2 linked regions of the Caenorhabditis elegans genome follow. The protein of the gene in region 2 purifies or fractionates together with the protein of the main gene of each other region. This does not show direct contact. Each region holds a gene or a part of one and is shown on either strand. Other genes may lie near its edges.

Region 1 (3,919 bases), on a different chromosome or scaffold from region 2:
TTGGAATGTTTTATCATGATATTTGGTTGTTTAGGATCATTATGAGTGCATTTTGACAAAATCCCCATTGGTGCTAATCCACCTTTAAAGAAAAAATGAGACATTACGTAGTCGTAAACCATCCGTAACCCGAATATACTTAGTCAATATTGGAATTCTACAATGACGTTCTTAGCAGGTATTTTCAACAATCATTTTATTAATAGCTTCATGCGAAAATAATATAGTGAACATATTACAACTCGATGCCTCTCCATGGAATTGAGAATTCGGCGTCGATTGAACAACATCTTTGATTGCGGCCGTACTCCTCAACTAACGAGTCCACGTTGGAATTCCCCGCGCCGATTGAGGTAGAGACCCGATTGAAAAACCATCAACATCGTTGGAGTTGCATCTGAAATTTGTTTAGCTGATTTCCATCGCTGATTTTTTTTTATCTACTCACGGTGCAGCAAAGAGGGCGTAATTAGGAAATTCCTTCATTGAATCATTTTTCCGCAAATAGGCACAATTGCTGAAAATAAACTTTCATTCACCAATAAAACCCAAAACACTGACTTTTCAGGCGCTTCTTTTGGCTCTCCAGGTCCCCATGTCATCGCAACCTTGCCTTCGGGACCCTTTACAGAAAATGATGGTTCACTCCACTTCCACGTCTTGTCCACTGGATCTCTCTCCAAACCGAGCCAGGTTCGAACGTCCTGGAATAATATATTTGCAAAGTTTTAGTTTATTCGCACGACGTTTTACCGAGTATCCGACAAAACCGACTCTGCTCGCAAGAGGGTGTGCAAGCGGCGTACTTTTTGCAGGTGGAAATCCCCCATTATCACTCGGAAATGCTCCCTCGTATCTTTCAATTAGCAGCTTCATTCCCTGAAGCTCGCAGAGCTCCTTCGCTTCCAGTTGAGTGATTCCTGGCGCAATGTTGTGCCAATAGCAAACTGAAGAGTTATCGATTATGCCTTGCTCAAGGAAGGACGTAAACTGGAATGCTGGGCATCCAGTTTCAGCAGGTATATATTGTGTCTGGTCGTCCTCTGTGGAAAATTTTTGTTTGTAGGATGGAGTTTATAGTTCACTTACTGTAAGTCATAAGAGCGTAGTATTTTGGAGAAGTTCTAACGCCAATGTATTGTCGCTTCATTAGTGGGAATAAATATGGGGACGGCATCTGGAAATATACCGGACTAGAATAATAGTTTGAGAGAACTACAAATGGATGAATATTCTTTAAACTCCACTGTGCTTCTCCACTAGAAGTATAGAGCCAATTTAGGTCCGCTTTTCACTATACACACATTTCCTGAGTTAGGGAAAACTACAAATTATAAACTCACATAATACTGATTATCCAACAGCTGTTCAGTTGTTAATGAGCATGACCGATTACTCAATGGTATTTTCAACGCCATACGATGCCCCTCGGATGCTTCGGTTCTTTTCAGGAAAGTTAAAGCGGATATCCAATACTTTGTGCATTGTTTAGTGGCCTCTATGTAATATACATTTGCACACATGCATTGTTCTTAATCTCTTGAATCGAATTCCACTGGAACAGATAACAAGGATCTGATGCATTTGACTGATAAGCCACGACACAATCAAACTCTTCCAAACACTTCTCTGTACATTCTTTGAATGAAGCCACTTGGATTATTGACGATGCATTTAACACTGTTGGTTCACCAGTGACAATTGCAAATTGGTAGGTAGAATTCTTGGCTCCAGAGTCTATTCCAGCAGTGAAGGGAAGTAACAGTACAGAAAGTATCACAGATACCCACATCTTGTGAGGCTCTGAGTGAGTGTCGGGCACATTTTATATGAAGGAAAAAGTCAACAAGCGGTTCCCACAGTTTATATCTAGAATAGTTAGATATTTTATGTTTTCCTTTTACTTTAGAGACTGAAACTTGGCAATCGTTGGTGATTTAAAGAACGCTATCACCTATAAGGCCATGGACATATGTAGGACCTCTTGATAATTTAGGCTGAAATGATTTTCAAATTATATTTAATTCGATATTAAAATTTTTTTTGACAATTTTACAAGTTCATGTTCACCTCAATTTTGATATTTTTGTTTTACAAATAATCGAAAAATTTGGGAAGCATAAATTGGACAAGATTTGCAGTAAAACTGGCACTTTTTGATAAATGTTGAGAAAGTGCCACACTATCAATTCAGGGTTCTTTTTCTATATGTACATTTTCTATCATTCTATAGACACTGACGGACTTCTTACACTTCTGACGGACGAAACACCTTAAATTAAGAATTTCTCATATCATTTGGGCTCACTGTATAATAATTTCCCAATAGATTTCCAAACATTTGTTAAGATTTTTGAAGAGATTCAAATAGTCTGCAAGGCCTCTTTAATGTTTCCGAACAATTTTAAACATTATTGCTTGGTTTTAGTAGTTCACCTTTCCAACCTTGACATCATCTCATTAATATTCGTCAGGCGCCAGGATGCATTTTGCGCGAATCGGAGCAATATCCATGACAACACCCGTTTTTTTCGGATCTCCATGCCATTTTGCGCCGGAATGGACCTCATTATTTTTGTTTGACATTCATCCTTCATAATATCCATGGTGATGTCCCCATTTTCTCAAACCTCCGTACAATCGGAGAAACACGCTTGTTTCATTCATCATGGTATTGTTGGGCGTCTGTGTGATGCTCTCTTTTTCTTCTGATTTTTTGGTAAACTGTGAGTTTTTGAAAAAGTTTTTCCAATTTGGAATAATTGAGCATTTACAGAAACCATCAGTAGCTGACTGCTTGGAGAGCGGTTTCTAGTTATTTGATTTTTTTTTTGAAAGAATTCTTCGGACTTTTTTAATCAGTAAGTTGGAACTGTTCTAGAAAAAATTATCAGCCTGCGACCGGTTGATCATAGAACTTATCCAATCAAATTTTTGTATTTAGGTGTCCTCCACGTCCAATTAGGTCTCAATTTCGTTGTCGAAGGAACTACGGATTTGATATGAGATGAGAGATCAAAATGAATGTGATCATTGTCTTCTACAACGGATATAAGGTGTGTTATTTTCAGTTCAACTAATTGAGGCTCAGTCAGTATAATAAAACGTTTCAGAGGGTAGCATTAATCGACCCATTGTACGACCCCGACTCCAAAGCACAACCAATTAAGTTTGAGAAAATCAAGTTAGTGGCCTACTTTGGCTGCTTCGAAAAAGTAAAAAAAATTTTTGATAAAATAAATCAGTTTTATATTTTATATTTTTCTTTTTTGCGTTTCCATGAGTTGAATCACTTTCCCCTTATTATATGTATCTATCTGATTTTTTTTTTTGAATATATAACGTTTCGATCCATGACTTCAGGGTTGTTACCTTTGGGCGTTTGTGTGATGCTCCATTTTTCTTCTGATTTTTTGTGAAACTGTAAGTTTTTGAAAAAGTGTTTCCCATTTGGAGTAATCGATATTTCAGAATCCATCCGATACTGACTGCTTGGAGAGCGGTCTCTGATTTTTTCGAACTTTTTTGAACGAATGTACTCGCTTTTTTATCGGTAAGTTGTCATGCACAAACTTTAAAGTACAAATTTTGTAGAGGATTATTTTAAAATTCTGTATTCAGCAGTGGCGTTTTGCTATAGATAAAAATTTTCTGATCAAAAAATCAGCTACTATAACGTTTCTAAAACAAACTCAATTTTTCATTTGTCAAAAGGTGTCCGTGGCGTTTGGTGAGAAATGCATCTTTACTTGTGGCTAATCATAAAACTTTTTCAATTAAATGTTTCTTATTTAAGAGTATAAGAATGGTTCATCTCCACAAACTTCATCGGAGCAGGGCTCACCGACCCGGATTTGAATAATGTGCTCCAGATGAAAATAGTGAAACTGGTCGAAGGTATTTAGTTGTTGTGGATGGA
Region 2 (5,210 bases):
TTAACAATAGAATCTAAAATTCAACACCATTTTAGAAATCAAACGGGGGATCAATTGCCATAATATTTCTTCCAGCAATAAATCACAAACTATTTATGAAGAAAATGCCGTTGAGTAAGCATTTCATGCAAGACAACCAGTTCAGATTTGCACAATTTATGAGCAAAGTAAGATGTTACTCGATTTTGTAATTATCAATATCGCTAATATTCAGAATGAACCAAATTCAATGCAAGATTTGTTACTACAACTTGGAATTTCAAATAAAATTAATATGTTCAGAAAAGCAAAGCAAAATAATTTTACAACTTTTTTCTCTGGTCCACAACAAATCAGATATATGATTGATGTAGATTATGATACTTTGGATCATCAGAATTTCATAACACAATTCTTAATTGATGGAAACTTATGTTTGAAAAATGGAAAAGTAAGTTTTATATTTCAAAAAAAGTTTATATCACAATTTTTCTAGAAATTAGTAAATGATCAATTGGAAAAAATCGGAGCATTTCTGACATCAACAGCAGATTCCAAGGTGTTTTCAGCAATGTTTATTGATGAATATGATGAATATCGTAGACAATCAATTGATCAAGATTTGAAGTATTATAAAAGTTTTTGAGGAAAAAAACGGACCTTTTTTCAGAAAAATGTTGGATCTATTAAAGGAATCAAACATTTTCGAGAACACTACACTAATCATCACTTCGTACGACTTATCAACAAAGTGAGATTCTTATTTACATTACATGTTAATTTGAACAATTTGCAGAGATATTGAAAACGAAAACGACAAATATCCAATGTTTGCTTTTCGTCCATCCAACCAATTCATAGAAAATAATAATCAGAAACTATATTTCATGAATATGAATTTCAACAGGTTAGGTCTAAAAATTATATTTAAAAAGAATATCTGAGTTTAGGTTATTGTCTTCTACTAATTTCAATCAAATGCTTGTTGAATTAATCAATCCGAAAGAAAAATCTTCAAAATCTGTCTTCATAGCTCAACCAACATCAAGGAACTGTACGTCTGAAGGAATATCAGAAAATATATGTTTATGCATGAATATGGTAATTTCTTTGAAAGTCGGAGAAAAATATAATTATACTTTCAATGTTTAGAGTACATCCTCTGGGTATCCTGAAAAAGGCGAAAAAAACTTCCTTCAAACATTGCGAACAAGATTTACACAAGAAGTGAAAACACACAAATGTGTTCGTTCGTTTGAACTTGAAGATTATAAAATTTTTTATGAATACTCAATTGGAACGTGCGTTATTTTATTTGTATTTCTCTACAATTAGATAAACTGTTGTTCAGAAGTAAGGAAGTACGTGGCGTAGAATTGACCGGATTTGTGAATATTATCAGTTCAAGGGGTAAGGTAAGTTCAATTAATTTTATCTTTTTTTGTTGCAACTAATTTGTTTTTTTTTCCAGAAAACCCTTTTGCTGAAAAAGATGTTCACCTTCAAACCGGAGTTTGCTTCATTTAATAGTTTCGATACAGCAAGGGTTGTTGTCGGTTATGAAGTTAACATTGGTATTGCAAGGTAGGGATTTCCGGTGGAAATTGTTTATTTATTAATCTGTTTTCAGCATGTGTGATTTGTAAAACAACAATCTCACAGGCACTGGCAAAGATTAATACGAGATTCCAAATTTCAGAATGTCACATATCTCACTATATAGTTTGTTCTTATTATTTTTCAAATTATATATGAAATTGATTTTAAGCATATTGTTTTTTTTCCAAAACTGACCCACATAAACAACGAATTTTCATCCCCCGTTTCACCTCATTTCTTTCGTCCTTCCTAGTTTTTCCCTCGCTTTCCATTCTCCTTTTTATTCGATTTTACGCCCTTTTCATCAGCTTTTCCCCTCAATCCTTATCAAATTCCATTACATCACCATGTTCCTCTGTGTTCTGTGATTGTTTCCATATCAATTAGTTCTGTACAGATGACCACCTTTTGTCCGAATCCCCAGCCCGTCTCGTTCGTCACGTTTTTCACTCACTTTCTTCTTCAGTTCGGTTCCACAAACGGCTTCCGTCTGCGTCTCTGAACATTGTTTCACTGTTTCTTCTCTCTTTTTTTTGTCTACTGAGACATACAAAACCTTGTAATAATATCTAGATGCAGGTCTCACCTTACTGTACTATTTTTCGAGATCTGAATTTCCTCGAGACTATTAAAGACGGACTGAAACAGTGGCTACTTCTGTAGAGTGAAGCCATGTTTGAATGTTTGAAGGCCGTTCCTCTAGATTTTTATAGCTTTTATCGGAATTGCCCATCATCATCAAATTAATAATATCGTATTCCTTTCCGATTCATATTCGCACCTTGCCATTCCATTTGTCTGAACTGTTCCATTTCCATCTCTCATTCATTACATTCACCTACATTCTCATTTGCAGATGCATACTCTCTCCATTTTATTACCTTTTCTACTTGTGTTATCCACATTTTCTCAAGTATCTCATGAGTTCCGGCATAAAGCTTTTCGAACATTGAAAACTCCAAAAGTCAATAAACAAAGGTTATCTTTGATTATTCAAAGACTACGTATGAATGATACCACTAGAATAAATGGAGAAGGTATGTAATTTGAATGGGAATTTAAATACAATTGAAAGGTTTCAGAAAACTGCCCTATGTTCCAATCATTTTCTCATTGTGCCTGTGAATCAACCTGCAACAATCCAGACCCGGTAAGAACCTTTTTTCTCAAATCCAATCGTAAATAACAGGCAAAGTTTCCAATAGTACTATTATCGGTATAATTCAAAAAATTCCAGTATTGCTCTAAATGTGAGCCTGGATGCACTTGTCGAAATGGATTTGTTCGGAATTCTCTCAAATTGTGTGTTCTACCGGAAGAATGCCCACGGACCAAACTTCGACGTTTTGAACTACAACCACCTAGACGACTCTATGAAGCCGTTCCAGTTGTTATCACAACTACCACAGAAGAACCTACTAGAGCAACAACTGAAGAGCCGACAACTGAACTTATAACAGCTACTGAAATTGCTGATGAACTCGTAACAGTACCACTGATAGTTCTTCGTAATGGACCAACACCTCCATCGGCTCCTCCAATGCTACAAGAACTCTCGTCTGACATGATCGGAGCTCCATCAGCAACTCCTCCTCCAGACTTTTCCTATGGGCCACCAGGAATGAATGCAGCAAAAGTTGCATTGTATGAGAATTTTCTCAAACAAAAACGAATTATGAGAGCTCTCCGTCATCGCAGAAACCGGTTTGCAAAGAGAATGTTGTAAATCTTGGTTTTATTTGATTAACATTTTATTTCATACAACAAGATCTCATAGATTCATTCAACTATAACAATTTTTATGAAAAACGATGTGCGGAAACATGTTAAATACAATAAAACAATTTAAATATGAACAATTAAAATCTCAATTTATCTACAATTTTTCATGATGCTTCCGATGTCTTTTTCCGATGGAAGCCACTTTTTTTGACGTATCTGGAACTATTTCAAAAACAGAATCCACCGCAACTCCAGTGTCATATTCATAGAGCTTATAGTCAATATCTGAAATAATTATTTGCTTTAAAAGTATGAAAGTAATCAAAAAAATGTTACCTTTGAATAATGGCACACATTGAATTTCACAAAATGCAAGCACAGTGAAATACAAAAACAATAAGAATTTCATTTTTCGAGATAATTTGAATCAAAGTGTAGTTTTCTGCAAGGAATTATCCACTAAAAAAGCAAAATCTTTTCCTTAAATACAATCCAGTCTTCCAGATTCTAATCCTTGTTCTTTTCTCCCGTGCCGGTGGGTATCATAAACGCAAATCCGCTTTATCAACTACGTCCTGAATAAGTGAAATTTCTGTCTTTTTTGGTATAAGCTTATAAGAAATTGGCTTCCGTTGTGAATATTCCTGGTGTTTGAATCATGTCGGATTCCAATTTGTTAGGTGCTCGACTTTTTATTTTATTTTTGAAGAAACATTTTTATAAAGGCAAGTATACAAAATCCTATCCGTCGTTCTTATTCCGCAAAAAATAGTTCGACATCGACTTCTCATATCTTATAGTTAAAAGAGGAATTGATATAAAATAGTGATAAATTTGTAGTGCCCAGTATTTAATTAAATAATTCAATTCAAAATAGTTGGGTAATTTTTCATTCTTCACTTCATTCTACTTACAGAAAATACGCATTTACAATTCTGGAAGGACTTTTCCTGGATTCATAATATTATTAGGATCCAACGCGTGTTTGATCGTGTGCATCAACCGTACAGTATTCTCTCCTAATTCTTCTCTCAAGTATTTTCTTTTTCCAAGTCCAATTCCATGTTCTCCAGTGCATGTTCCATCTGCAGCCAGAGCACGTCTTACAAGACGATCAGAAAACGATTGGATCTTTCTATGCTCAGTTTTATCTTCTTCAATTGTTGGGAGGATAACATGGAAATTTCCATCACCAACATGACCAACAACAGTTCCAAGAATTTCATGTTCATCTAGATCAGATCTTGTTTCTGATATCACATCTGCTAGTTTTGATATTGGTACACATACGTCTGTCGTGAATCCCTGAAATAAAAATTTCACACTTTTCAATTTCAAAATACCAAGACTCACTCTTGCTCCTGTTCTCATTGCAAGAGCAGCGTAGTATGCATTGTGTCGAGCTTTCCATAAAGTTGCCCTCTTATCAGGTGAGGCTCCAGAATCAAAATCTAGAGCTTCGTGACTTTTACAGATATCCTCAACAGCAGATGTTTGATCAGCTACTTCTTTTTCATTGCTACCATGAAATTCAATGAAAAGAGTTGGTGATTCTCGAAGGTTCAGGCTACTGTAAGAGTTGCAAGCTTGAATCTGAACTGTATCAAGAAGCTCAATTCGTGCCACTGGAATATTCCATTGAAGAACTTCAACTACGGTAGAGGCAGCTTCATGTACTGTTGGGAATGAACAAACAGCTGCAGATAAGAATTGTGGACGAGGATGAACTCTAAAAATATGTTCTGAGAAGGCTCAGGGAATATCATTTCAAAATTCTTACTTTACTGTTGCTTCAGTAATTATCCCTAAAGTTCCTTCAGATCCAACAAAAAGTTCAGTAAAATTGAAACCAGCAGATGACTTTCTTGGACATCTTCCTTTTCCTTTTGTATCTATGATTGTACCATCTG

The links.
Region 1: the proteins of F32D8.3 (region 2) and Y26D4A.5 fractionate together in Caenorhabditis elegans (co-fractionation; one large-scale study listed by BioGRID). This does not show direct contact.

Annotation. Positions count from the first base shown.
Region 1 is NC_003279.8:13,073,602-13,077,520, forward strand, and holds Y26D4A.5 (uncharacterized protein), read left to right. Parts: upstream 1-2,953; 5' UTR 2,954-3,020; coding exon 3,021-3,056; intron 3,057-3,113; coding exon 3,114-3,419; downstream 3,420-3,919.
Region 2 is NC_003283.11:10,884,536-10,889,745, forward strand, and holds F32D8.3 (TIL domain-containing protein), read left to right. Parts: upstream 1-2,301; 5' UTR 2,302-2,434; coding exon 2,435-2,615; intron 2,616-2,660; coding exon 2,661-2,728; intron 2,729-2,815; coding exon 2,816-3,304; 3' UTR 3,305-3,438; downstream 3,439-5,210. Other genes in the region: F32D8.2 (ATPase_AAA_core domain-containing protein), read left to right, coding at 36-167, 215-430, 476-606, 650-730, 776-886, 930-1,080, 1,132-1,280, 1,331-1,394 and 1 more; F32D8.11 (uncharacterized protein), read right to left, coding at 3,455-3,585, 3,637-3,709; F32D8.12 (D-lactate dehydrogenase (cytochrome)), read right to left, coding at 4,228-4,605, 4,654-5,029, 5,081-5,210.